Lytechinus pictus: one gene and its partners. Each later gene encodes a partner of the first gene's protein in a complex. Links are inferred from orthologs where the notes say so. Each region holds a gene or a part of one and is shown on either strand. Other genes may lie near its edges.

What was found.
Region 2: phosphatidylinositol N-acetylglucosaminyltransferase subunit A-like (region 1) and phosphatidylinositol N-acetylglucosaminyltransferase subunit H-like share a complex: the UniProt entries of both Homo sapiens proteins name them as parts of the glycosylphosphatidylinositol-N-acetylglucosaminyltransferase (GPI-GnT) complex. The link is inferred for Lytechinus pictus from reciprocal best matches to the Homo sapiens genes PIGA and PIGH.
Region 3: phosphatidylinositol N-acetylglucosaminyltransferase subunit A-like (region 1) and phosphatidylinositol N-acetylglucosaminyltransferase subunit Q-like share a complex: the UniProt entries of both Homo sapiens proteins name them as parts of the glycosylphosphatidylinositol-N-acetylglucosaminyltransferase (GPI-GnT) complex. The link is inferred for Lytechinus pictus from reciprocal best matches to the Homo sapiens genes PIGA and PIGQ.
Region 4: phosphatidylinositol N-acetylglucosaminyltransferase subunit A-like (region 1) and phosphatidylinositol N-acetylglucosaminyltransferase subunit C-like share a complex: the UniProt entries of both Homo sapiens proteins name them as parts of the glycosylphosphatidylinositol-N-acetylglucosaminyltransferase (GPI-GnT) complex. The link is inferred for Lytechinus pictus from reciprocal best matches to the Homo sapiens genes PIGA and PIGC.

Annotation. Positions count from the first base shown.
Region 1 is NC_087245.1:9,799,891-9,807,447, forward strand, and holds the start of phosphatidylinositol N-acetylglucosaminyltransferase subunit A-like, read right to left. Parts: upstream 3,019-7,557; 5' UTR 2,967-3,018; coding exon 2,869-2,966; exon of another isoform or gene 2,518-2,868; intron 1,912-2,517; exon of another isoform or gene 1,754-1,911; intron 1,018-1,753; exon of another isoform or gene 395-1,017; coding exon of another isoform or gene 378-394; intron 1-377. UniProt on the Homo sapiens protein: Catalytic subunit of the glycosylphosphatidylinositol-N-acetylglucosaminyltransferase (GPI-GnT) complex that catalyzes the transfer of N-acetylglucosamine from UDP-N-acetylglucosamine to phosphatidylinositol and participates in the first step of GPI biosynthesis.
Region 2 is NC_087251.1:13,833,587-13,841,326, reverse strand, and holds the start of phosphatidylinositol N-acetylglucosaminyltransferase subunit H-like, read right to left. Parts: upstream 3,008-7,740; 5' UTR 2,896-3,007; exon of another isoform or gene 2,710-2,895; intron 2,657-2,709; 5' UTR 2,529-2,656; coding exon 2,289-2,528; intron 1,478-2,288; coding exon 1,405-1,477; intron 718-1,404; coding exon 590-717; intron 1-589. Other genes in the region: centromere-associated protein E-like, read left to right, coding at 3,227-3,287, 5,934-6,019. UniProt on the Homo sapiens protein: Part of the glycosylphosphatidylinositol-N-acetylglucosaminyltransferase (GPI-GnT) complex that catalyzes the transfer of N-acetylglucosamine from UDP-N-acetylglucosamine to phosphatidylinositol and participates in the first step of GPI biosynthesis.
Region 3 is NC_087254.1:10,567,711-10,574,835, reverse strand, and holds the start of phosphatidylinositol N-acetylglucosaminyltransferase subunit Q-like, read right to left. Parts: upstream 3,012-7,125; 5' UTR 2,973-3,011; coding exon 2,849-2,972; intron 1,989-2,848; coding exon 1,217-1,988; intron 1-1,216. Other genes in the region: trichohyalin-like, read right to left, coding at 4,903-7,125. UniProt on the Homo sapiens protein: Part of the glycosylphosphatidylinositol-N-acetylglucosaminyltransferase (GPI-GnT) complex that catalyzes the transfer of N-acetylglucosamine from UDP-N-acetylglucosamine to phosphatidylinositol and participates in the first step of GPI biosynthesis.
Region 4 is NC_087259.1:10,794,220-10,801,612, reverse strand, and holds the start of phosphatidylinositol N-acetylglucosaminyltransferase subunit C-like, read right to left. Parts: upstream 3,004-7,393; 5' UTR 2,920-3,003; intron 1-2,919. UniProt on the Homo sapiens protein: Part of the glycosylphosphatidylinositol-N-acetylglucosaminyltransferase (GPI-GnT) complex that catalyzes the transfer of N-acetylglucosamine from UDP-N-acetylglucosamine to phosphatidylinositol and participates in the first step of GPI biosynthesis.

The DNA of each region.
Region 1 (7,557 bases):
TTGGGAACTATTCTACTTTAGGCTAAGGCTAGACAGCTGGCAGCCGTCTGTTTCGAGGAGTTTTTTAACTTTTTTTTTTTTTTTAATTTCTCCTCGTACATTTGGTGAGTGAAGCCAACGGAGTTCAGCTGAACAACCAACATAACAGAGACCGAAGCTTTTGGTCTAGGCTAAGGCCTACCTTCAGAAAAAAAAGTAGATCTAACCCTAAAGAGGTGTTGCATCTACATGTAGATCGAGAGTTCTAAACTAGGTCTAACTGTTAAGAAGAAAAGAAGCTACATTGCCATGGCCGGACTTTACACCAAACTTTGCATTTGGGACTACACTACGTTCATATTCAACATATGGGACTGTGATGAAAATAGGAAACTTACCAGACGTTATGCTTCATTTTTCTTCTTGCTTGAAATGCCTCCCACACAAAATATTTGTAAAAAAAACTACAGGGGTAACATCGCTAAAAATTCGCCTGGGTACTATTAGTAGGTTCTATAGACCACAGTTGATTGAATTTATACAGATTAAAAGTCTATAACTCCGACCTATTAACTAGTCGTCGATCGACGCCAACGCACACAGACAGACACAGCGGATATCACAGCCACACAACCGATCGAGTTCGAGTCTACCATATGTTGTAAATTCCATGTAAAAGCACTTCAGAAAAATGGCTAGTGTTGAAGAACTTCGAGCTAAAGTACAACAGTTAGAAGATGAGTTACAGGCAGAGAAGAATAAAAATATTTCTCTGACAGGAAGGCAAAAAATAGAGACGATGAGCTCGGAAGTAGTCGACAGTAATCCATACAGGTAAACGAATTGTCCCACATATGAGGTTTTGTGTAGGCTAAGGCTCTAGAAATTAAAGCCTCTGCACTGCACTGGCAGGCTGCCGCTCTGTTCGTCATGCCCTTTTTACTAATTCCCCAAATTGTTTGTTTCTTATTCAAGTCTACGATTACATTATATAAATGTATTAATAACTGTGTTTGCAATTTCGAGCTAACGTTAGACTTAGACCCTGGGTAGACAGCTGGCAGCCGTCTGTTTCGAGGAGTTTTTTAACATTAAATTTTTTTTTTTAATTTCTCCTCGTACACAGACGGCTCGCTATCGTGCAGCCACCATTAGGGGGTTAACAATGCAAAATCCCCCCCACGGGGCTCATCAATTTTTGTCTTTCATAAAAATATATCAAAAGAAATAGGCTAGACCAAAATTAGACCAAAAGCTTCGGTCTCTGTTATGTTGGTTGTTCAGCTGAACTCCGTTGGCTTCACTCACCAAATACAGAGACCGAAGTTCTAGCGCGATCTGTACAGGGGACTCAATGGCCATATGTTTATGTACTTAAGATCGGATAAAACAGGGAAGTGAATTTGCACGACAGCTGAGGTAAGTCACTGTTTTTGTTCCTTTTAACTTGATTTTTCTCTGTTTTTTGGCAATTAATGCCAAGAGGGAATATTAATTTGCATTTTGGTCACGTTAATTTTCAAAAATTTTATTCATTAAAGACAAAAATTGAAGAGCCCCGACGGGGGGATTTTGCATTGCAAGTCCCCTAATGGTGGCTGCACGCTAGCTAGCCGTCTGTGTACAAGGAGAAAAAAAAAAAAAAAATGTTAAAAAACTCCTCGAAACAGACGGCTGCCAGCTGTCTAGACCAAAATAAGCATTCCGTTTTGGCCTGAAATGCACCAAAATGGGAAAAAATAAACTTAAAAGGGGGAAAAAAACAATGACTTACTTTGGCTGTCGCGCAACTCCGACTTCCCTGGTTTACCGAACTTAATACATAAACATATGGCCATTGAGTCCCTGTACAGATCGAGTTAGAACTTCGGTCTCTGTATTTGGTGAGTGGAGCCAACGGAGTTCAGAAGAACAATCCAACCCAAATGAAAACTTGTTTTTAGAGGGAAAAGAGAAATCAGACGAGCTTATTGGTGAAAGTTTTAACAATATCGGACAAACAATAGGAAAGTTATAATTTTTTAAAAGTTGTAAATATTGGTCATCACTGACACTATACCTATAGAGACTTCAAATTGGCCGCATATAAATGATGTCATAGTGATGTAAGGCAAGGACTACTCTTCCATGTACTCCAATACATAAAATGTCATTATTTTCAAAAGTTTTACTTCAAACTGTAATTTTCTTTCTTGAGGACATAAAACAATATGCAACCTGGGTCATATTTAGATTACTGCCCCAGGGGAAAGGGTACCAAAGAGAAAACCACAAATCCCTGATAATAAAGTACATGGCCTATAAGAAAGTTGTCCTTCCCCTTGTCGTAATTTTCTTACTCGGTCGCCAATTTGAAATCTACATAGTATTGGGGATCTTGATTTTAAAACGGCCATAATTTTCTTATTGCATATGCGATTTCTTTCAATTTTTCACCATTCTTTTTTATATATTTTTCTTCTCTCCAACACAAAATTTTATGACCAAGGCTGGATTCCCCTTTAACAGAGACTGAAGGGCTATTCCACGGTTACTCACGTTACATTTGGAGACACCTTGACAGGCTTGACTCATACTTGGAGCTGTAACTCCATTATTGATAGTAAGCTTGTAACCGATTTTGCAATCGGCAACCGATTCCATTCGATTTCACAACAATCGGCGATCACTTGCCGATCTTCGATCATGCCCCTTGAAGGAAAAAATCGGATATAAAAAATCGGCATACCTGTAGATCTAGTTACAGTGCGGTCAGAACATATTTCAAGATTGTTCTTGCAGAGGTGCTAGCTATTTAGAGCTTTTTAACAATCGAATAGTTCGAACAATCGAGATTCCTAGAATGTCAGAAATGACTCATAAAAGGTTGACCTACTTATGATGACCTACCGGTAGCTGCGCTGACTGGTATGGCGGGAGTGTAACTTGGAATGAATGTATTGTATAATATACAAACAATGAACATGTACTTGTACTGTGTTTGTCATTTATCCCGCCCATGAGTGCACACAATGGCCAATAGCAATGGAGTTTGAGAGCTGTATGTGACTGCATGGGTGCATGAATGTGTTGTATGCATTATGTATGCTAGTGCTTATGCTGATAAATCCCGCCCATAAGTGAATACAATGGACCAATAGCAAGGGAGTTTGAAAGCTGAGTGTGACTGCATGAATGTGTTGTACGCATTATGTATGCTAGTGCTTACGCTGATAAATCCCGCCCATGAGTGAATACAATGGACGAATGACAAGGGAGTTTGAGAGCTATGTGTGACCGCGTGGGTGTAGGAATGTATTGTGTGTATTACGTATGCTAGTGCTTGCGCTAATTTTTGTCATAATCCCGCCCATGAGTGCACACAATGGCCAATAGCAATGGAGTTTGAGAGCTGTATGTGACTGCATGGGTGCATGAATGTGTTGTATGCATTATGTATGCTAGTGCTTATGCTGATAAATCCCGCCCATAAGTGAATACAATGGACCAATAGCAAGGGAGTTTGAGAGCTGTGTGTGACTGCATGAATGTGTTGTACGCATTATGTATGCTAGTGCTTACGCTGATAAATCCCGCCCATGAGTGAATACAATGGACGAATGACAAGGGAGTTTGAGAGCTATGTGTGACCGCGTGGGTGCAGGAATGTATTGTGTGTATTACGTATGCTAGTGCTTGCGCTAATTTTTGTCATAATCCCGCCCATGAGTTCACACAATGGACGAATAGCAAGGGAGTTTGAGAAATGTATATGAATGCTGGGTGCATGGATGTGTTGTATATGCTAGTCAATGCCCTGCTTAAATCCCGCCCATAAGTGCACACACGGCCTAGGTACGAATAATAGCAAGGGAGTTTGAGAGCAGTGTGTATGGATGTGTTGCGTGTTGTATGTATAATGTAAGCCATACTTGCAGTGATATACATGTATTGTCATTAATCCAGCCAGTGAGCCAACTCAAAGAATAGCACTGTTAGCAGTGTCAATCAAACCGGCTTATTATAATCACTCGGGTCGCGTTCGCGTTCGAAATCACTCGGGTCGCGTTCGAAATCACTCGGGTTTTGGATTTTTGGCGATTTTTTTTAATTCGATACGATTTTTTTTTCTAACGGTGTCTTCAATTGGACAAACACGATGGGAAAATAAAATGAAATTGAAATTCTAGTTTCGTTTTAAGCCGGCAAGTGCCTTAAATAAAATGCACTCATACTGCTTAACATAACAAACAAGCAAATCAGCCATGTGGTTCAACTATTCTACAATACATCCAGACTTCTACTGTTTTTATACGAGGACTCCGAGTCGGAACTTGCCATATCTGCCACATCGATATTACATCGTCATTCCCATGTGCGGACATGCATACCTGCATGCAATGGCCCCAAGGCGGGACCCGGCCGGCCATGGTCGGACACGGCGTGCATCAGTAGCCAAAAGCTTCGGTCTCTGTAATGTTCATTGTTCCGCTGAACTCCGCTAGCTCCACTCACCAATACAGAGACCGAAGTTCTAGCTCGATCTGTACAGGGACTCAATGGCCATATGTTTATGAATTAAGTTCCAATAAAACTTGGAAGTGACGTTGTGTGACAGCCGAAGCAATTAGTTACTGTTTTTTCCCCTTTTAAGTTTATTTTCCCTTTTATGTGCATTTTAGGACAAAACTGGCGACTTCCATTCCAATGCATTCGTCTTTGTGACTTTGTCAGGAAGATGCGCGCGACCGCGAACAAAATATTTTTTTTTAAAGTCGCCAACATGCGCGATCGTTTGGAACATGTTTTAAAGGGGTTTTGAGGTGTTACTGCTTTGAAATAAACCGAGTGATTTTATTAGAAAGATAAAGACGCATCTTCCGAGCAAAGTCGCAAAGGAAAATAAAATGAAAATAATTCTCATAGATCACAGGTTAATGAACGATCGGCGGGACATCATTTATAAGTATTTTTAGGTGCTAGCGATTTAGAATTATTGGAATGATCTCTTCAGTTGATCTCATACAATGCATTATCTTAAAGGCGCAAGTGCAATTAAAATGTAGTAGAAGTCGCAAGCACGCGCGATGATTCGGAACATGTTATTAAAATGCTCTGGGGAGCTAGCGTTTTCAAATCAATTTATTACTATCTTCAGAAATTAACTTAATTTTGATAACCAAGAAGAAATATAAAAGAAGCGGGGTCCGCTATCACCACGAGGTTGAAGAGAAGTGTCTATCATAAAGGAGGTAAGAGAGTAGTGCAGTGATGTCCGTCGGTAATACGACCTTTAAAAGTTCACGGCGGCGTCCGCTATCACCACGAGGTTGAAGAGAAGATATCTATCCTGGTAGACATCGTCAGAGATAATACCGCGTCTTTCTCCCTGATTAATGCGACCTCTAAATAGCTAGCACCTCAAAAAAATCTTGAAATATGTTCTGAACGATCACGCACTGTAACTAGATCTACGCCGATATTTTATATCCGATTTTTCCTTCAAGGGGCATGATCGAAGATTGGCAGGTGATCGCGCTGATTGTGGTAAAATCGGGAGCCGATTTTAAAATCGGTTAATTACAACAGGACATACAATTACGATTTTAAAATTGATTTAAAATCGATTTCCAAAATCAATTTTAAAATCGATCTAAGATCAGTTTTAGATCAGTTTTAGTATTAGCTTTTAAAAGCCCATTCACATTTTTACTAATGCTGACGAAAAGTTAGTTTGGTTGTCAGAGCATTATTTGTCCTGCGTCTAAATAACTATGTCCGATCGAGGGACCGTTTTAATTTCGGAAAGGTAGGAGAGACAGAGAGAGAGAGAAAGACTGATCCCCGTTCAGCTCAACGTATACGTTTGGCACGCGAGCACAAAAAAGATCAATTAAGCACATCACCTAATGCAATGTTTCGAGAATAAGGGAATTTTTTAGGTCTCCAGTTACTTAAAACATGATATGGCCATTTTATCTATAAAATAAGACAAATTTTATGAGAAATGGACAATAATTAAGAGCAGAATTTTAAAACGCCTATCGGAAAGATCGTCCCAAAGCTCATTACGTATTAGACAGCTGGCAGCCGTCTGTTTCGAGTTTTATTTTATTTTTATTTCTCCTCGTACATAGACGGCTCGCTATGGTGCAACCATCATTAGGGGTTAACAATGCAAAATCCACCAGACGGCGCTCATCGATTTTTGTCTTTATTTCATAAAAATATATGAAAAGAACTGTATCAAATAAATATTATTATTCCGTTTTGTCCTAAAATGCACAAAAAAGGGAAAATAAACTTAAAAGGGGAAAAAACAGTAACTAATTGCTTCGGCTGTCAAGCAACTTCACGTCCCCGTTTTATCGGAACTTAATGCATAAACATATGGCCATTGAGTCCCTGTACAGATCGAGCTAGAACTTCGGTCTCTGTATTGGTGAGTGGAGCTAACGGAGTTCAGCGGAACAACGAACATTACAGAGACCGAAGCTTTTGGTCTAATTACGTATACATGCATTAAACCACGGATGGCTGGCTATGCATACCGCTGAATAAAATACTTTCGGACGAGCTGACTGGCACTGTAACGTGGGATCTAACTCGGCTCGACTCACGTTACCTTGCTCCATGCTACCGATGCACGCCGTGTCCGACCGTGGCCGGCCGGGTCCCGCCTTGGGGCCATTGCATGCAGGCATGCATGTCCGCACATGGGAATGACGATGTAATATCGATGTGGCAGATATGGCAAGTTCCGACTCGTAGTCCTCGTAGAAAAACAGTAGTCTGGATGTATTCTAGGATAGTTGAGCCACATGGCTGATTTGCTTGTTTGTTATGTTAAGCAGTAGGCGAGTGCATTTTATTTAAGGCACTTGCCAGCTTAAAACGAAACTAGAATTTCAATTTCATTTTATTTTACCAGCGTTTTGTCCCATTGAAGACACCGTTAGAAAAAAAAATTGCATCGAAATAAAAAAAAATCGCCAAAAATCCAAAACCCGAGTGATTTCGGACGCGACCCGAGTGATTTCGAACGCGAACGCGACCCGAGTGATTATAATAAGCCATCAAACCCACCACGTGCACATGCCAAAAGGTAGTGTAAAGAATTTTGCGCTAGCCCGTTGAGTCTGGGCGGTTCCAGTTCTCGGCTATGCCACAAAACTATCTTGTATTGTGTGAATGCTTGCGCGCATTGCGTAATTCACTGATATTGTTGAGTGGGTGGGTATACAAAAAGATCGATACTGAGGCGTGACTTAACTTTTCCCAGAACTGATTCGGAGAAATGATGTACCAAGTAAGCTATTATAACAAAATGGGTGTACTTTGGAATGGTTATTGGGCGTGGCTGTAATCACATATTATAATGAGCGAACTTAGCTGAGCTCAGCTTCACATAAAAATACTTATAAAAGATGTCCCGCCGATCGTTCATTGACCTGTGATCTACGAGAATTATTTTCCTTTGCGACTGCTCGGAAGATGCGTCATTCGTTTATCTTTCTAATAAAAATCACTCATTTTATTGTTAAGCAGTTAAACCTCAAAACCCTTTAAAAGCATGTTCCAAACGATCGCGCATGTCGA
Region 2 (7,740 bases), on another chromosome or scaffold:
TAACAACTACAGGCGCGGACCGGCTACAGTCAGACTATTATGGGACGCAAATTTGTCCGAAAAGCAAAAAAAACACACAAAAAACACAAAAGGTCCTTGTTCCATTGTACAGGGTGCACAATGAAGGAATTGTATGGGGTCCACCATTGTATTTTCAAATTTTACGGGGTGCGCCCGCAGCTGCTGCCACCCCCCCTCCTGGATCTGTGCCTGAAAAACTGTAATACTTCATGTCTCTTTTTATTTGTTATCTTGGAAATAAAACCTGAACTTGGGCAGTATTTTTCACTTGCAATTTGAAGAAAGTTACCACTTGACATACAATGTAAAGATAGGTGAGTCTGCCTAAGTCTTCTTGGGACCACAGACATAGTCCTGCATTGCTGTACAAATGCAAAACTATCAAAATGATTAATTGCACAGGTTACACAACACTTTATAAGGAGGGATTGTTATCATGGCACAAGAGTCAGTAACCCTTGGTAGGAGGGAAATCGCTGATGATGTTTAAGTGATATAACACTGTCCATCGATTCTCAAGTCAGCCTGGCTTTAAAAACACTCAAGTGATAAATAAGAAATCACTCACCATTGTTACAGCTTCATGGATAACAATGTCTTGAACTGCCCTGAAAGGAATAAACTGGGTGACTCTGCGTCCTGTGACATACTCCGAAGATATTTGCAACCCAAGGGAAGATATCAGAAGCAGTGTTTCTACAAATCAAGGTGGAAACAATACAGTACATCAAAATATTCAAAAGATAGTCAATTCAATGAGTGAGGATTACAAAATGAGATTATCAAGAACAAAGTGTACTTAAACACTCTAGAAAAATGATCTTAAAAAATAGGCCTAGAGTTTACAAATATGGAATTAAATTAAAATGTTATTTCTAATGAAGATTACAGAAATAAAAAAATTAAAAATACAGTAAAAATTGAGAATCGAAACCAAAAAAATATTCACAATGTATTATAATTGGTAATTTTATGTATGTTTCATTTTGTTTGATTTTAATCCATTCAGTCTGGTAAAATATATAGTTCTGTTCATTTCTGTATCACCTCAGTTCAGATTTCATGAGGTATTATTGGTACAATTTATCTGATTACCCTATGTTGTATGCAGGTTCTTCTCATGTCTCCCTCAGTCCTTTCCTATTAGGCCTACACACCAACACACATAACTTCTCCGAATTCTAATTTCAATCCATTTTATTTTGTCTTCTGAGTTCTTGCATTGTTTGCTGCTCTTTAGTTGTAGCTTTTATCACTCTATTTATGATTCACCAGTTTTATTACTTCTTAAGTTTTACTTTGTCATTCAGCTCCCCACATCAATGAACTGTTACTTTTAGAAAAAAATCATCACATGTAAGGTCAAGGACTTGTTAGTTTTACCTTTTGAAACTGAAGAATGAATGTACAGAAAGAACAGAACACTAATCATGATAGCGAGAACTGCATTCCAGAACTGTAAAAGAAAATTGGATTTAAAATAATCTTATTTGGGTAAAAGATTTAATAAATCATAACATTCATGAAAATCATTCCATGGAAATTATTCATTCTATACAGTAATCATATCTATTTAACTAAACATGATCTTCTCATCAAGCTTTCCAAATTTGACTCACAATATAGGCTAAAGGTATTATTAGTCTCAAACACTGTCATTTCAGTAAAGTTTCTATTTGCGACAAAATTTCGGTGTTTCATAATCAAAATGAAAGCTTCAACAAAAGCGATAGAGGCTGATGAGTGACAATGCCAAGAGCGACCCGGATCCCGAAACCAGGAAATTTGGAAAGTGAACAAGACCATGGAAGTAGAAAGACAAGACCCTACATTTCGGCTGACCATATTTTGCACCTAACTTCATCATTTTCATTTTACTTTCCATTTTTCATTTCATTTATGAAATGTTTCATACGACGTACACATATTACATTGTAGAATCTATTTCACATTCAATTAATCACAACTTTTACCAACAAAGTTAATACATCACTTTAATTTAGGGGGAGCTGGAGGGGACATAGCCATAGGCTGTTACTAAATTAGTGATGTAGAAAGAGCTAGATAATTTAGATTATCATCATGCAAATCACATTCAAATGCATGGTGATTCTTTTTAAACAAATTATGACTATATTTCATCTTTTTATTTAACCATTAACAGACATGACAGAGCCGCCTCGATTTACTTTCATTTTTGCGTTCATAAAAATTAAAATATAAACATTTTATTCAACAATAAACAAGCCCTGTCTTAATATACTCACCAAAACCGTGAGTCCTACTGCTGACATAAAGAAGAAAATATGCAATAGACCCCCTATATGACAACTTGGTTTTGACTGTTTTGCAGTCACAGATATTTCACAGACAAGCTGGTCATCTTTCCATTTCACACCTCCTTCATGTCCTTGGCCTTTCCTCAACAAGCCCTGGCCTAATAATTGCACATCCTCCTTCACATTTTGGGCATGGTAGAAATCATTCTTCAAATCTGTATCCATCATTATGTTAAAGGGCCGTCATCACCGCAAATTGACGTCGGATGAAACACAATTTGATCTAACTTAGAATTTAGATCTAGACAAATTTGAAGCCAGCACTAACTTCGTATGTGAATGTATATGCAAGTCGTCTGTCTTATTTTATACAAATAATGCATGCAGCCGAGTGCGTTAGTGGAAATGCAGAGCACGCGAGGTTTCTTTAGATAGGAGTCGCACTGTGCACGAGCCGCTTGCGGCGAGTGCCCAGTGTGCTCCATCTGAAGAAACCGAGCTTTCTCTGCATTTACTTTTACGCACGACAGAGCAAGTGCATTATTTGTTTTATAAAATAGCAACACAGAAACAATTTTTTTAAAAGTTACAGTACAGTTTTGTTGGACTTCTACCGCACTGGTTTGCTCGAGCGTGCAATGTCAATTTTCGTTGCACACCTTTTGCACTACCGTGCAGTGCACAAAAAAAGTTGGATGTCATGTGACGCGTATTGACCAATCGCGATGCTTGAAATAATACAGCTATTTTATAAACACAGATATCAGTACGTGGGATGGGACTGAACAAAATACTTCCGCTATGCTGCCCTCTGTAGTTGTTTACTTGCACCCCAGGCAACGGGAAACTCTTCGCGACCTACCGTACTCCAAAGTCCAAGTCCAACACGGTTTTTTTAAAACAGGATCCAGAGAAATTTGGCCAAAATGTCTGCCAGCACGGAAATGCCAGGAGTGAATGCTGCACTCCAGCGTCTTCAAGAATTAGGTTATTATTTAATTTGGATTACATTTGGGTTTGATGGGTTTTTATTTATTGCCCGGCCCGGCCCCTGCGGTTATACTATAGGCTATAGCCTACGCCGTATCGTACCATCGAATGGAACCCGGTACCATACCGGGAATTCACGTACACACACCCCGAAGCTCTGGCGGCCGGGCCCGGTCATGCCTAGACAGCTGGCAGCCGTCTGTTTCGAGGAGTTTTTTTTATTTACATTTAATTTTTTTTTTTAATTTCTCCTCGTACACAGACGGCTCGCTATCGTGCAGCCACCATTAGGGGGTTAACAATGCAATGCAAAATCCCCCCGACGGGGCTCATCGATTTTTTTCTTTATTTCATAAAAATATAGGGCCTAGCCCTAGGGCTAGGCCTAGAATAAGATAAGAACTGTAGGCCTAGCCCTAGGCCTAACTTAACTAGACCTACCAAAATAAAGATGATGATTGATTAATTATTCCGTTTTGGCCTGAAATGCACAAAAACGGGGGAAAAAACATTGACTTTGGCTGTCGTGCAACTTCACTTTCCTGTTTTATCCGAACTTAATAGTAATACATAAACATATGGCCATTGAGTCCCCTGTACAGATCGAGCTAGAACTTCGTCTTCGGTCTCTGTATTTTGGTGAGTGGAGCCAACGGAGTTCAGCGGAACAACCAACATAACAGAGACCGAAGCTTTTGACTGTTCTAGGTCATGCCTAACCCAGGGAGCTCCGGGCCAGAGCTCCCTCAGGCCTGTTGCATGAAAGGGTCTTTCGTAGAACCGTTCTACGTAAGAACTAAGAGTAAGAACGAGATATCGCTCAACTGTTTCACAAAGCCGATTTGGGCGATACGAAGAATGGTCCTTGACCTTAGAAAGACACCTCCAGACATGTCCTACGTAGGCATGATCGACTTTGCACACCGCCCGCCACCGTCAGCATTGAGAGAAAATGCGTTTACGGCAAGCCACACTGACATATCACATTTAAACATTTTTGGGGGTCATTCGATTGCACTCTGATGCATTTTATCTGGGATGGCGCCAAGTTATTTTTATGGGGGCTGTCATTAATTTCATGGCAAAACGGATGTCATTTTAACTTCTCCGGGGTAATTTAGGCCCATAAGGGGCCTCATATATAATATTTAAAAAAAATGTGTTTTCTTTTATTTTCTCACATTTTCTCCCTCTTTTCCCCACACCTTTTCCATTTTTTATTCAACCAAACTTGAAATATCGAAATGGCCGGCAATCTCTCTGACCCCTCATGCTTTATCATAAGATAAACAACATGAAAACAAATTTTTTTAAAAGAAATCATGTATGGTAAAGAAAACATGTTTATATAACGTTCAGGAAAAAACGCGATACAATACTAAGATCAGTAAGATGTTACTAAACATGCTAAATCATTTATCTATTTTCATTTTATTTTCATAATCATTATTATTTCTCACCTCTTTTTTGTACTTCCCTTTCTTTTCTGGTATGACAGGTTCCCCCAAGTCTGTGCAGTCCCCCTTTGTCTGCACATACGCATACCTGCGCGATTCTATTTCTAGTAAAAGAAGATACGCAACAAACACAAGCTATACATATGCAAATGCAATACATAGACAGACATTCATTAAAAAATACGACTCAAAATAGTGGAAAAATAATGAACTTTGGGCATTTGATTTCAATGGTAATTTCATGTGACGGCCTCAAAATGCAGCTGTTGTCATCAAAATCCCTGGATCCCATGCAAAGTGAATGGGTGCGCAGACATGGGGCACCATTTTTTTGTTGAATCTGAAAATGATTGACTGAGGTTTTTCCCGAGAAAATCATATATTTCTTTCAAATTTTTATGAGATTTTTGGCACACTTCCTCATAATAATATAAGGAACGTTATCAACCTAAAGATTTTGTGAAATAAAAAGAAGTTCATGTTAAATCTTAACTCAACTCTTAGGTGTGCAGACTTGGGGACAACCATCATACTCCCCCACCTCCACCAGGAGGCTCCTAGAGAGAAAAAATCACTAACGTGTGCTTATTCTCCACAGAGCCAGGGATTGTGCCCCATTCATGTGCGTATACTGCGGTCAACGTTGCAATTTTCGCCCCGAAGATTTCTACCTTCCCTGTAAAAGATCTAGCCCTAAATTATGCATGGGATACATGTAGAACTTCATTTCCGACATTCAAAGAATGTTGATTTCATTTTTAAGCAAATATTCATTAAAAAAAACCACCAAGAATTATATTTTGAGAAGACGGGGGAAAAACTTGCCAATGTTTACGTAGCCATCTGAAGACAAGACTGGGGATCGGGGAGCACATTATTTACAAGTGATAAAAAGTACATGGATGACGATTTTAATATAAAAACACCTTTCTCTAATTTGTGGTAAATTTTCCAAAGATTATTGGCCAAGAGCAAGAAGCTTAAATACTAATGGCAATGCGAGGTTTGAGTTAAACTTGTAGCTGCCATATGGGAATGGTGACAGAGATTTGCAAGATGGCAGTTTATGTGATGATTGGACCCAGAGTGTTGATGGAAGACAGCCATGATAACTGACATGTATTTGATCTCTAGGTAGATGTATCTTTTTAATTTATTGTGTTATGCTTTTTGCTTACTTTGATAGCTGAACGGATGAAGAGTGAAGAATTTGGCTTCAGAGATAATGATATTACAATGATTGACGGAGTATCAGAAGCTATCAAAGAATTGGTAAGAATTTCATATCAACCTTTGCCAAACCCCCACAATTTTCATAATAAATCTATCATTTGGTGAGGTTTACCTTACGTTTTCTAGGTCAATTTAATTTAATTCTAGGGTTTTGTTGTTCCTGGAGTTTGTTCTTTTCATCATCATTGTAACCTCCATTGTCATACAATTCTTACCACCTTTGTTATCTGATCATTGCCACCATTGTCATCTGATCATCATCATCGTCGTCATCATCATCATATTCATGATTAGTAAGTAATCACCTATATCCAGGGTTGGGCTCAATTACTTTCTTCAATTACAATTGCAATTTCGTAATTGAAGATATGCTAAATTTACAATTACAATTCAATTACTTTCTATAAGTCATAAATCAGATCAATTCATATTTTGTATGTAGCGCCACCCATTTTGTGCACTTCTTTATAGCAATAGCATCTCCTCTTTCCTCCCTATCATGGGAAAGGATACAGTTTCATGCAAGAGAGCACTATATAGCTAAGGGAAAAGAGAAATAAGCAATCCAGAGTAAATTGAATAATAAATTAAGTTATAATGTAATTGAATGTAATTAAAAGTAATTGACAGTAATTTGAGTCAATTACAATTTTTCAATTACAATTACGTTCTCCTAAAAAATTTCAATTACAAATTACTCTACAAATTAAATTGCTCCAAAAATGTAATTAATTACGTAATTCATCAATTACTTTGTAATTGAGCCAAACCCTGCCTATATCACCATTAGGTCACAATGATCATCTAATTGTTGTTCTGCAAACTCATTATATTGCCAGAATAAAGTACCACAAGGAACTAACATTATCCTGTATCTAACCTGCTGTTTACAATCGTTTCAATATTAATGTTAGCGATTGATTGTACCCTTGATTTTTATTTATAGATTGTACATTGTTGTCAATGCACACAATCATAAAGACATTGTTCTGCAATGATTGTTGAGCTTTGTGTTACAGGCCCATAATGGCCATTCTCCCTTACCATTTTATGATCTCCAATTTAGGGTTTAGCAACAAATAAACTATGATTCATGATTCATAGAGTTCTTGTTTTCAAATCAATCATCAAACCCTTGTTTCAATAAAAGATATTAATATACAGCCCAACAAAGTGTAATAGCCATTTAAAATCTAGTATTTGTGTTTGAACATGGGTGATATGAAAAAAATGTGTTTAAATCAAACAGCATTAACTTCCCTTAGGGGTTCAATCATTATGGTATTCTTTGTAGCTAGGTTGATGGCATATTTACATTATTGCAATATGTATTACAAGTGGTTTCTCCACCATCTCACTGTCACCCCCTCATCTCTGCCACTTCTCTCTCTCTCTCTGCTGTCTCTGCCTCTCTGCTTTTGTCCCTTCATCTCTCTGTTTCTCTGTACATCTCTTCTCTCAGTTCCTGTATCTCCCCCTTTATATACCTCCTCTCTCTCTCTCTCCCTCTATTTGTCTCTTTGGCTGTTTCTCTTTCACCCTCTCTCTTCTCTCTTCTCTTTCTCTCTCTCTGTCTCTTATCCTTTTCTAACTCTCACTTCCTCCATTCCCCATACTCTGTGCTCTCTTGATTATTATACCTGTCCCCCTCTTATTTTAATTGATTACAATCAATCATCATGATCCCTGAATGACATTGGCAGAAAATTCATTTATTTTAACCATTCGGGAGCAATATCAAAGGTCCCAATATAAAAAGA
Region 3 (7,125 bases), on another chromosome or scaffold:
ATCTAATTCACCGTATAATGCCCACTCCTTGCCAATATTTTCTAAGCTGACAAATATGACAAATAAATTGAATGTTGCCATATTTATGTTTATGTTGTCTAAAGGCATTTTACCTACTCTGATAGCATCTAAATTTGTCCTTAATTGTAATGTACATAAGTATACTACACGCGATGCTGTAGAATACCATATTCCTTAAGTCAGAACTAATTTTTCAAAGAATACTGTATTTTATAGCGGTCCTCATCTTTGGAGTACTATTCCAAACCATCTTAAGAATCAACTTTCTGTTTTACAGTAAACGTTCCTTTCAATTATTTTTATTAAACTTGTACTCAGTAACTTGATATTATACATGAATGTTTACGACTTTGACTTTTTCACTTTTTCATTTTTGTCCCCCCCCCCCCTTTCTTACTATATCTTACTTACTATCATGTGGAATAAGTGACCAAAGTGATTCCTTTTGTAAGCAAATCTTTATCATCTTTACCGTCTGTACATTATCATTATAATATACCAAGCATGTTATCTGAAAAAGTTATGACCACACATGTGTGTTCTAAAATGAATTTCAAAAATATTAACTAGGCAAATATAAGGCAGGTTACATGTACCCTGAAGAAAATGGCAATTATCAAAAACATGACAAGCAATCTTGTGGGGCGTTGCAAGAAACTTGTGATTGATTGCAAGTCTATTGTTGGTCCCTAAATCAATCATATGTCTTGTAATTAATTGTAGATTTGTGATTGATTGCTAAACTGCTTCTTGAAACAATTTGCTACAGTTGAAATTGATCTATTAATTTTAAAATTGCAACAGCTATTGATTGCAACATAATATTTGCAATTGATTGAAAATATTTTCTTGCAACACCCTGTTGGACGTTTACAGAGGCAGAACTTATCATAAATCAAGCCAACAGAAAAAAAATGTGACATCACAGCTGTATTCATCCCACAACTGGTTGTCAACAGCTCAAAATAGCCCAAGCTTTTTCAGATCACGTTTATAGTGCTTGCCTCTAACTTACTGATACCTACCTACTATAGAACAGGGATTTTTTTCACTTTCTGTAACAAAATACTGTGACATCACTAATTCTAACATTTTTATACTACAGCACAGCACTATCTCGAAGAAGAAACAGGAAAATACAAAAATGAAATAGAGATTCAACTACCATTTCATGTTGTGTATTGCAGGTAATCACCTTGTTTCCTTGATACTGTCCAAGCAGTAAAACAGAGATCTCATGAATAAGACTGGCAAGATAAAACAAATCTCACAGATTTGACTGCATATACGAAATCCTTTACTACTGGAGTTTCTTTGTAAACATGACATGGGTATATTGGGAGGAGACGCCGGAAGTGCATTCTTAGAAAAGTGACGGACAGCTGAAAATAAGAAGTCCACTGCCTCACATTGGTGGGTTATGGGTTTCTTATGTTCCTTCAACATGGAAGGCGTGGATCCATGAGAATCATTCTTCGCTGAATCTGCACCCCGCTTGCTATCGTCTAAACAGACGTACTGGGCGTTTAGTATATGATAATCATTGAACAGTACGAAGAGAATGCGAATGTTCCCTGGACCGCCTACATGTTGCCAAGGTGATCGGACGATCCTACAAGCCGGAATCTCATTGTGATGTTTTTGTGTCATTTCAACGATGCAGCCGATGTGACGACTCTTCTCGTCTGTATCTGGTCTCGGGTCTCTGCTCACGTTCTCATATATACCGATGACAGGGAGATTAATCTCCAGTTCTGGAGCATGATCATCTTCAGATGGATGGACGATGGCTAAAACACACATGCACCGTTTGTCCGGGTGTGTGGTTCCAAGGCACAACCCACTCCTTGCATTCAACAAGCTTTCAGGGAAGAAGATTTTGAGTACAGCAGTCCCCTCCATACTTCTTCCAGTCCGAGATGCATCCAAACAATTCAAATTTCCATTTAAATCCCACAGTGCAGGCTCTGTAGTAAAAAACAAAACAATCAAAGAAAATAATAATGTTATTAGATTAATCTTTTTATACTTATACAACATAAAACAGTCTTTTCCAATATTTGGTCATTTGCTAAAGCATGTGGTTTCACTTTTTATTCCTCAAGTGACCGATTGTCACAGGAAATGAAGTTTACTTGTATGTACGTAAGATTCAAATTAAATTAAAGAAACATTGAAAACAATTTTACATTTGGGCAAATAGCATGCAGAAGCAGATTCTAAATCTAGATCTAGACCTCTATATGAAATTGCTTTAAAATCATTACTCTCTTAAAATTAGCTGAAGAAAGGAGTCGGAGTGTCAGAAATGTTCCTTCCTGATTTCGGTTGTACTTGTAGGCCTAAACTAAAGCTACATCATCATCATCTACTAGTCTACGGTCTCTGTTATGTTAGTCGTTCCGCTGAACTCCGTTGGCTCCACTCACCAAATAGAGAGACCGAAATTCTAGCTCGATCGGTATATACAGGGACTCAATGGCCATACATGTATTAAGTTCGGATAAAACAGGGAAGTGAAGTTGCACGACAGCCGAAGTAAGTCACTGTTTTTTCCCCTTTTTTTGTTTATTTTTGGTGCAATTCAGGCCAAAACGGAATATTATTATCTTTACTTTGGTCATGTTGGTACAGTTCATTTTAAATATTTTTATGAAATAAAGACAAAAATCGATGAGCCCCGTCGGGAGGATTTTGCATTGTTAACCCCCTAATGGTGGCTGCACGATAGCGAGCCGTCTGATCGAGGAGAAATTAAAAAAAATATAAAAATGTTTAAAAACTCCTCGAAACATTAAACAGACAGCTGCCAGCTGTCTAGAAACACCATGTTGTTGTTGTTGTGGGTCGTTTCCACACCCAAATGATCTCCTCGGTATACTCTCAGTGTGTCTGTCACAAGGTTGATGAGCTGCTAGTGCTTGTTGGTAGTATTTGCTTAGAAACACCATTGCTTTTTTTTTAGCCCAGTCCCACTCATAAACATTTGTGTTAGTGAACATTAGAAGAGAAGGGAGTAACATTTTCTGGGGATCTAAATAAATTTCTGACATGCCCATTTGTATACCATTTTCATCACAAAGTCTGCCACAAATTCATTAGTAATTTAATTATTACTTACAATCAAAGATAAATACTTGGTCGAATTTCAGACTGTTGAACATGGTCCTGAACTTAGTCTTAGTTACAGCGTCTCGAATGACACAAAATTTTCACGCAATATTGAGCACTCGTCATTCATCCCTATAGTCTATTCATCCCCATTCGCATTCGAGTCTCTATGTGGCAACTAACATGTCACAGAAAAAAATCTATATTCAGATTCTCTGCACCTTTGATCTGAACTCTGAGAACACAAACAAATAAAAATAATAATAATACCCCCTTTTAAAACTTAATGGAAATAAGATGAGGTTATATAAAGGCTAATAAAATTTCCCCAATAAGTGGTACTCTTTATTGTGTGAAAATGATATACTGTATATTGGGGAAAATAATTTCGTAATATATTGCTGGCCAGCGAAGATTGCCCATTTCACCATTATGTAAGTGTGTTTAAAATAAAGCCGTTTAATTGTTCCATAATTAACTATTGGTCATACGAATCAAACTCATATTTTATTCTTAAAGCTAATAGGGCCTATTCTATGAAAACAATATAGTACTCTTGCCAGCTCTTAATTGTTAGATCACACCGGCTTATAGATGTTAGTATCCCCTAAGCCCTCTTATCAAGAAGAAAAAAAAATCATGTTATTATTCATGCTTTTAGCTTTATTTTTGTTACACACATACACTGCATCTATAGGTTCGATCCATATAATGTAATTTATGTAGTTTTGTAATATGTTTCATTTGTTCACTTTGTCTTATTACGTATTATATTTATAACGATCTCTATGATTCTATTTGTCATTTACATCATCAATATACCTGGCAAAATGAAAATGAAATATTCTAGAGAATATTAATTTAAAATGCTACCTAATTTGGAATCTTATCGATAGGTAATTCTCTTACTCTGGTTATGTTTATTTTTCTCCTTTTTGACATCTTGTTCTTTTGCTATTCAGAAGTGTACGTCGTTTTTGTTAAATACACCCCCTAAACTTGTAATTCTATTTCTTCTATTGTTCCACCAGAATAGGGCCTATATTTAAAAAAATACATTCATGCGAATTGCATATACTATTTTAGAGCATATACTGGGTCAGGGATCGGAATAATTAGCTAAGGCGGAAAAGAGATCCCCTTCCTATCGCCCTCTTCCTGCTCTTCCCCTTCCTTATTATTTTTTCGTTCTTTCTTTCTTCCTTCCTTCTTTTTCTTTCTTTCTTTTTTCTTTCTTTCTTTCTTTCTTTCTTTCTTTCTTTCTTTCTTTCTTTCTTTCTTTCTTTCTTTCTTTCTTTCTTTCTTTCTTTCTTTCTTTCTTTCTTTCTTTCTCTCTCTCTCTTTTTTTCTTTCTTTATTCATTTTCTTTCTTTCTTCCTTCTTTCCTTCCTTCCTCAATTTCTTCCTTCCTTCCTTTCTTCCTTCCTTCCTTCATTTCTTCCTTCCTTCCCACCTTCCTTCCTTCCTTCTCTCTTTCGTCTCTTCTCAGTTAAAAAAAGAAGAGGCTTTCACATTGGCTAATGATTTCCACTTTACATTTATTTTCAATTTAATTACATAACAATATTATCACATTGTGCATGATAAATAAAGGCATAAATATATAATTGAATAGCAACAGTCTTGATTTGGTGCTGGGTAAGATAAGAGCCCGGGAATAATTTTGCTCTTGCCAGAATGCTGAAGTTTTCGATAACATACGATGGTCTTGATATTGTCTGTTTGATCCCCCCTCCCTTTCCCTCGTAAGTGGCTTTTTGCAGGACAGTTTCAGAAACAGCATAGTAATTTATGCCACCATTTTTTCCTCCTCTTAGTATGATGTTCCTCGACCAAGTCATTTTCTCTATCCCTGTCCATATCTTCCTCCACAAGTTGAAGTTCGCAATGCTTCTTATCTTCACAGTGATTCTGCCCCTTAGGATTGTCCCCTTCCAGCATCTCAACCTCCTCGGTTTGACCCCGCTTGACTTCCTCTTTCACCTGTACCTCTCCCAGCTTTCTCACTTCACATTGTTCCTCTACGGCAGATGAGTCGTTCATATCATCCTCCTCCTCCTCCTCCTCCTCCTTCTCTTCCTCTTCATCCGCCTCCTCCTCCTCCTGTTGCTCTTGCTGCTGATGCTGCTCCTCCTTCTCCTCCTCTCTTTTATTCTGTTGTTGCTCCTCCTCCTCATCTTCCTCTCCCTTATCCTGCTGCTGTTGCTGCTCCTCCACCTCTTTCTTATCCTCCTCCTCCTCACCCTGTTGTTGCTGCTGCTGCTGCTGCTCCTTTATCTCCTCCTCCTCATCATCTTCTCCCTTATCCTCTTTCCCCTGCTGCTGCTGCAGCTGCTCCTCCTCTTCCTGTTGCTGCTGCTGCTCCTCCTCCTCCTTCCCCTCTCCCTTATCCTCCTCCTGCTGCTGCTTCTCCTTATCCTCCTTCTGCTGCTGCTGCTCCTCCTCTCCTTTATCCTCCTCTTGCTGCTGCTTCTCCTTATCCTCCTTCTGCTGCTGCTGCTTCTCCTTATCCTCCTTCTGCTGCTGCTGCTCCTCCTCTCCCTTATCCCCCTTCTGCTGCTGCTCCTCCTCTCCCTCCTCCTCCTTCTGCTGCTCCTCCTCCTCCTCTCCCTTATCCTCCTTCTGCTGCTGCTGCTTCTCCTCTCCCCTATCCTCCTCCTCCTGCTGCTTCTCCTTATCCTCCTTCTGCTGCTTCTCCTCCTCCTCCTCACCTCCCTTATCCTCCTTCTGCTGCTGCTTCTCCTTATCCTCCTCCTGCTGCTGCTCCTCCTCCGCTCCCTTATCCTCCTGCTGCTGCTCCTCCTCTCCCTTATCCTCCTGCTGCTCCTCCTCCTCCTCCTCCTCTCCCTTATCCCCCTTCTGCTGCTGCTCCTCCTCTCCCTCCTCCTCCTTCAGCTGCTCCTCCTCCTCCTCTCCCTTATCCTCCTTCTGCTGCTGCTGCTCCTCCTCATCTCCCTTATCCTCCTCCTGCTGCTGCTTATCCTTATCCTCCTTCTGCTGCTTCTCCTCCTCCTCACCTCCCTTATCCTCCTTCTGTTGCTGCTTCTCCTTATCCTCCTTTTGCTGCTGCTGCTCCTCCTCCTCTCTCTTATCCTGCTGCTGTTGCTGCTCCTCCACCTCTTTCTTATCCTCCTCCTCCTCCTCACCCTGTTGCTGCTGCTGCTGCTCCTTTATCTCCTCCTCATCATCATCTTCTCCCTTATCCTCTTTCCCCTGCTGCTGCTGCTGCAGCTGCTCCTCCTCTTCCTGTTGTTGCTGCTGCTGCTGCTCCTCCTCCTCCTTCCCCTCTCCCTTATCCTCCTCCTGCTGCTGTTTCTCCTTATCCTCTCCCTTATCCTCCTTCTGCTGCTGCTGCTGCTCCTCCTCTCCCTTATCCTCCTCTTGCTGCTGCTTCTCCTTATCCTCCTTCTGCTGCTCCTCCTCCCCCTTATCCTCCTGCTGCTGCTCCTCCTCCTCCTCTCCCTTATCCTGCTGCTGTTGATGCTCCTCCACCTCTTTCTTATCCTCTGCCTCCTCCCCCTGTTGCTGTTGCTGCTGCTCCTTTATCTCCTCCTCCACATCATCTTCTCCCTTATCCTCTTTCCCCTGCTGCTGCTGCAGCTGCTCCTCCTCTTCCAGTTGCTGCTGCTGCAGCTCCTCCTCCTTCCCCTCTCCCTTATCCTCCTCCTGCTGCTGCTTCTCCTTATCCTCTCCCTTATCCTCCTTCTGCTGCTGCTGCTCCTCCTCTCCCTTATCCTCCTGCTGCTGCTGCTCCTCCTCTCCCTTATCCCCCTCTTGCTGCTGCTTCTCCTTATCCTCTCCCTTATCCTCCTTCTGCTGCTGCTGCTCCTCCTCTCCCTTATCCTCCTGCTGCTGCTGCTCCTCCTCCTCTCCCTTATCCTCCGCCTGCTGCTGCTTCTCCTTATCCTCCTCCTGCTGCTGCTCCTCCTCCGCTCCCTTATCCTCCTGCTGCTGCTCCTCCTCTCCCTTATCCTCCTGCTGCTCCTCCTCCTC
Region 4 (7,393 bases), on another chromosome or scaffold:
TTTTATCCAGCCGGCCGCGCCGGCCGGCTGGCGTGAGCTTTGCATGCTTCAAGCAGCTGTGAGTCAGCAGTCTATTCAGACTCAGGGAGCTGCAATACGAAATGTTGCAGCTAAGAAATCTTCCACAGAACTGTGAAAATCCAAGTCAAAGTCACATTTTACACCAATGAAAAGCCCTTCTACAGACCTTTTTGCCAAAATCTGGTGTATCCTGATTATTTTCAAGCATTTAAAAGAGGAATCATGACCTCTCTTTTGACTCAAAAAGACCGATTTCCAAATGAAAATAATGCACATAAAAACACATAGGTGAGTACATCACAGTCCCACGTGTTCATTTGAATTGTATGTATGTTGTTACTTGGTTTCTTTCGAAGCTGTGCCTTTTCCGGTCTTTTCTAGCCAAAAATAAACAGACAGTTACTTTCTTTCTTGTTTATAAATGACTTCTTAAACAACTCTTGAGAAAGTAAATACTTTGGGAAGGCATTTCATTAATATGAAATGTGAATTTTTCCAACATTTTGGCAAATATAGGGAAGGAATTTTCTCGCACTTTTTTTTTGCCGTTTTATTATTTTCTTTCATTTTTTTGACAGTGGTTAAAAAACCATTTAAACCCATTTATTAATTTTCAATGTTTTTCTTTATATTTTTCGGGCCACCAAACTTTAATATCGGGCCACCAAAAAAAATTATTTGAAGGTTTTGGTGGCCCGAACGGGCCACCACCAAAAAAAGTTAATGTGGAGCCTTGTCTACTGTAACCGTGGGAAATCCTAGCCTCAGAGAGGAATGATCCCCAGGCCCAGGCTTCATGCGGGAGTAAGCCTACGTATAGTAGATGAAGTTTTACTCCCCAGAAGCCTCCAGGCTAGCTCTTCTCAAAGATATATTTTCTCTGAAAAGATTCTTCGTCTCGAACACACATTTTTAATTGCTGAAAAATCTACCAATCCGTCGTTATTTCTTTGGAATGTCTCCTTTTGTAAAACATGATGTTCTTGCGGGATGCAGCAAGAAATAATTATTGCAGACGGACAAATATAGCATGCAACAATAAGTTACAATAGCCCCCCACCTCTTGTAAATTTTATTGTATTTTCCAAGGAAGTTAAGAGAACACAAAGATAAGAGAATTTTCAGAATACCTTGTAGTTGTAACTCGATATTTTATCTTGCGCACAGACATAATATGCGCCGATTATATATACACGCATCAATATATCTCTGACATCATACGCGCTCAGTGAAAGTTACAAGAAAAGTTAAGACAATTTTCGGAAAACGGATTTTAATTTTTATTGTAACTCTGTCTCTAGTCTAAAAAAGATAGGCTACAACTAGTATAGTGAGTGATTGTATTACCGACCGGCCTTGTATTACCGAACGCGCGCATCATACGCATCAGAAAAAAATTCATACATTCAAAATTTCGCAACATTCTTCCAAAGAGAACTTGAATAGAAAGATGATGAAAAATGGTCAAAAACTCATTTTCAAAGTCTTATTTCTCTTAATATTCTAAAAACAATAAAATTTGGTCAAAATAACTCATCAGTGATTTTGTTGTTTTCTCAACTTTTCCCATAGAAAACACGCGTTCGGTAATACGATACCTTTTTCAAGTGACCAAAATATTTCACATGCGAAGAGGGGTCCGATTGGAAGCAAAAATCGTAAAAAGGAAAAACGATTTCGGCAAAAATTTTACATATTTATATTTTGTAGGTAATTGTGTATTTATGGTGAAAGTTTGGTGAATTTTACGAGAATAATGTGCTTGATATGATTGAATTCATGAAAAGTGTTCGGTAATACGATCCACTACCATACAAGTTAACTTATACAAGAATATTATTTCTCTTACTTAGACTTAAGACAATTTTCAGAATACGGCCCGGGAAATGTGATCGAGAGAATTGCTATCAGCTATGACATTTGCAAACAATTACTGGGAGGAAAATTTGCTGGAAGTCTGCAAGTGCGAAACTGCATTTGCGCCGGTCGAGCTAAGCCTAAGGCTAAGTTAGGCCTCACACAGTCAGTGCAATTTTGCCAGCCCTGGACCCGCGCAGCCGCTAGCCGCGTGCTAACCCAGAGAGCTCCAGCCCGCGTAGCGGGCTGGAGCCCAGACGCGCAGTGTACAAACGGGCATTCAGGTGAGAGTACCGTGAAGTTTGGTCAATATCATTTACATAATACATAATTTAAACAGAAATTAAGCACTTACCACGATTGTATGGATGATAGTCTAACGAGTGGCAGTTTCCTGACATCGAGGCACAGACTGGAACCTCAAAAAACGATCAGTTCTGTCGCGGTGGCTCTCCTTCTTTCAAAATTCATAGCAAAATGGCCGTTCGAGAGGGTGTAGGGCGCATGCGCGAATTTGACAAAGTCTATATGCGCTAGTGCTATACTAGCCTCGGTCTCGATCGGCCATTTTGTGTTGAATTCTGAAAGAGGAGAGCTACCGCGACAGAACTGATCGTTTTTTGAGGTTCCAGTCTGTGCCTCGATGTCAGGAAACTGCCACTCGTTAGACTATCATCCATACAATCGTGGTAAGTGCTTAATTTCTGTTTAAATTATGTATTATGTAAATGATATTGACCAAACTTCACGGTACTCTCACCTGAATGCCCGTTTGTACACTGCGCGTCTGGGCTCCAGCCCGCTACGCGGGCTGGAGCTCTCTGGGTTAGCCGCGTGCCAACTTGGCCTAATCCCTGGGGGCCTCAGCAAAGCTGCCCTGCTCGAGCGTGGGCCTGAATTGCAATTGCGCGATCACAGTTGAGTAGGGTCTGCGCGGTGGTAGTTATTGGAATTTTTAATCTATTCTAATCTAAACCTACATTACATCCAAATTGTGAAACATTTCAACTCTCTATACCTACTTTCACAGTACATACTTACCGCAGACAGTGATTTACAACGTGAAAAATAGTCCAGCTCTTTCGGTCGGCATACTCGGCCTCCCGTCCATATGCTATGGTCTCCTCAGCGAGAAAACATTCAGGGGGAAAAAAATCGAAATAAAATGCGACCTTTCTTGACAAAAATATAAATAAAATATAACCCAGAAGGAAAAACCAGTAAGACCAGTAAGAATTTTTACTGGTTTCCAGTATAATTTTACTGGTTTCCAGTATATTTTTACTGGGCCAGTTGATTTTTAACTGGACCAGTAAAAATCAACTGGAGACCAGTTCCAACAATTGCATTCCAGTTGAAACAAAGTAGTAATACCAGTTAAATTGTTTTTCATCAAACTGGTGTTACTGGTCCAATAAATGGTTTCCAGTAGATTTTTACTGGTTTTCAGTATATGTTTACTGGACCAGTTGATTTTTAACTGGACCAGTAAGAATCAACTGGAGACCAGTTCAAACAATTGCATTCCAGTTGAAGCAAAGTAGTAATACCAGTTTAATTGTTTTTCATCAAACTGGTGTTACTGGTCCAATAAATGACTTTATTTCAAGTTAGATCATTTGACGAATTATGGAAAATGAATCTTGCAATTCAGAGAAAGTTATTATCGTTATCATTTATCATTGTTATCATCATTCTTATAATTATCATTATCATTATTATTATTATTATGATCATTGTTATCATTCTTAATACTGTTATCATTGTTATTGATATTGTAATTATTATTAATATTATCATACTTATCAAGTATTAACATTATCATTAGAATAATTATTTCCTTTTGGCTTTAATTATGATTAAGATCAAAGCAAGATATATTCCCGTCATATAGTCAACTGGTCTAAAGTAATGCATTGTTTGAAATTGAACTGGTCAAGACCAGTAATACCAGTAATTCTGATGATGCTGATCACATGGTTTACCTCATTTGCATATTTCCTATTTTTAACAGAAAAATCAGGATTTAGAATGGAATATCCTTGCAATAGCACTCTTTGTTGTTTAAAAACTTTCTTAAAAAGTGTGTGAACTAATTCACAATGAAAATGTGTAATTTCATATATCAGCAGAAAGATTAATTTACTAACCATCTTTTCCATCACATTTCACTGACCAGGGTATATAACAAACCAAATGCATGTAATAAATTGATCCAGTAAGACCAGTACGAAGACCAGTTCGACCAGTTCGAGGACCAGTCAGACCAGTAGAAAATACCAATAAAGACCAGCTTGAATTGGATACCAGTATGAAGACCAGTAACAATCACCAGAAACAAGACCAGTATAAACTTCCAGTAATTCAAGACCAGTTTAATTTTTAACTGGACCAGTATGACCAGTATGACCAGTTAGACCAGTAAACCGATGTTCCAATTTCCAGAGTTACCAGTTAAAATTCTACTGGTCTAACTGGTCCAGTGGAACTGGTTTTTCCTTCTGGGAAGGTGGTGAGTACGGGTGAGTATCTCCGGAAAATTTGGTTGGTATGTTGTTACAAAAATATATCATTAGGCCTTGAAGCTCCCAATTATTTCTTCTACATTCAATCAAGTAGGCTACTAGTACTAGCTTGTGTGGGATATTGTTATTCAATTCTGACAAGTTAAATATTAATAGATGTGCAAGCTGCCCCCCCCCCCCCCTAGTGGAGTTCACCGGGAAAATAAAACAAACGGGAAAAAGACAAAAAAGGGGAGAAATAAGGAAAGGGCAAGGAAGTGAAAATAAAGAGGAACAGGGGGAAAGGAAAGGGAAAGGGGAAAAGGAAAGGGGAAAAGGAAATTAGGGAAAGGGAAAATAAAACTAAGGAAAAAAAATAAAAAGGGAAAACGGAAAGAAAACGAGGAAAAGAAGAAAAGAAGAACATGTGTGAAAGATAAAAAGCGGGAAATGGAGGTAGAATGGAATGAGCCAAAATCTAAATTGGAAAATAAAGAAAAGGGACAAGATAAAACTACCGGGATGCCGAGGATTGACGATATAATTATCATCATAAACTTGCTAAATCTCCAAAGCTACCGGGGGCTCTGTCCAAGATCCCGTGCAATGGGGGCTCTTCATCTGTAACCTGTAACCTTTATAAGGGCTCTATACAGCATTATATACGGGCAATACGGCCCCTGTATGAACCCTTCCTGCATTGAACTTTGCGTTTAAGCACTGGCGTACCGGGGGTTCCACAGCCAATGGGAAATAAAAGAAAATAAAGGAGGCAGCGAAATGAGACGAATGAAAAAAAATATACGACATGATATTTGCTATGATGTAAAAATCTATCACATAATTAGAATTTCATTTCAAATAAAAGCCATTTTTCTTTCTGGCTCGCTTCGCTCGCTGGCGACTGTACAAATTTTCCCACATTTGCTATGGTGTGTCCCCTCAAAATATTTACGCAACTGCATTGAATTTATGTGTTGTGTGAAAGCTATATAGATAAACACGCAATATGATTAAAATTAGTGGCCATCTGTAAGGTTTAAAATGGCTTTAATATCAAGAGGTTCCGGGTCTCCGCCCCGGATCCCACCCACGTAGTTGCTCTGTTGTATGGATGAGTTTGGACCATGGCCCCCAAAAGTTCTACAACCAAAACAAACAGCAAAAAGGGAGGAAAGACAGAAAAGCAAAGGAAAAGTGTATTATATTTTTCTGAATATCACGTCAAAATCTAGTGTTAGATTCTCATGAAAAGGTGATTTTTTTTTTATCTCGCTCGCTCGGTACTTTAATATATTAAGCTACTATAATTGCCACACGCGCCATACTGGGCCCCCTTTGAGCATATAGAGCTTCGCCCTGATGCGCACAATCATAACAAAATTCCTATTCACCGTGGCGTACAAAAAAGGGAGAAGGGAGAAATATGATATTATCTTTTTTAACATTATGTAAAATATCTATCACAAAATTTGATTTTTGTTATAAAAATGTCAAAATTTCGCTCGCTCGCATTTTTATTTTTTGCCCGATACACCATATCACCCCCTCAAAATTTTTGCCTCATGCCTGTTCCATGATATGACCGGGAAATTTTTGGCTCTTGCCCCCCCCCCCCCCCCCCCCCCCCCACCTGGCCACCAACCCCTGTTACGCCCCTGACTGTTTAGTGTCAAAAATATAAAGCTGAATTGTCGATCGTCTTTAAGAAATTTCCCGCTTTCGTTAGCGCAGTTTGACCCAGCATCATCACAAGAAAGGTCAATTCTGGCACCTGCTTGTGTAGGCTTCCACTGCGAGAGCAAATTTAATGGCGTTTCAAAACTCAACTGTGTTCAATATCGCATTCGTATTGCCGAAGGTCATAAAATCTGAGCTGATCGCGTTTACAAACACAAAGTCCTTTTCAACGTTTAAATTTTCCACTGAATCGTGATTTGAAAGACGTTTACTTTTATAAACGGGGATGGAGGAAACATCGAACACACCCTTTGTTTTCTCACTATATCCGCGTTTTGTAATTACTTTTTCAATCATGATTCATTCTGCCGTTTGAATTTGGAAACCGACATATTGTACACACCCTTACTATCTTACGGTGTCACGTCTTCAAACAAAAACCCATTTTAAACAGATCAGAGCAATTATTTCTTTATAAATGAAAACAATATTCCTATGCATGGTGATCGATAAAAAGATAATTCTAAGATCGTTATAAATTATGATATCATAAGCTAAAACATGCATGTCAGCAGTCTCACGATCCCATCTTCAATTATGGAAAATGTGCTGTTTAAATATATGATTTGTATTTTTTGTGTTCAATTCACAAGTTCAGGACTGGGATAATTATATATACATACATATCAGGGGCCGCGGAAGCCGGGGGGGGGGGGGCTTCAGCCCCCCTCCTTTTTTTCCAAAATCGTGTACAAAAACGTAAAAATTACCATATGATTGTGATTGTTTGCATGGTAAGCCCCCACTTTGATTTTATATATATATATATATATATATATATATATATTTTTTTTTTTTTTTTATCTTAGTGTAATCCTTCTGTTCTGTACCCTTTGTTACACATTATTTACTTTGTTGTTATTACGATTTTATTTGTATGGTTTTGTTCTATTTTGTTTGTTTCAATGCATTATAGGCCTGATGAAGGCCCCACTGGCCGAAAGCTCGCAATAAAAGAGATACTTGGAAGCTACGTCTAGCGTTAATGCTTGATTTATTTACGCCTATATATATATATATATATATATATATATATATATATATATATATATATATATATATAAATGTGTAAAGTTATACATGTACAACAGCTTTGGCAACTCTTTTATTTAAATATTGTAAAGAAATGGATGAAGAGAACAATGGTAGGCGTAGCTTAAATCAAGGTTCCCCAGAGCTATCTACCCTTTGGAAAAATTGGTGATGCCGAAAAAATGTCTCTGCCGGGAATCGAACCCGGGCCCCCAGCTTTGAACGCCGGTGCCTTAACC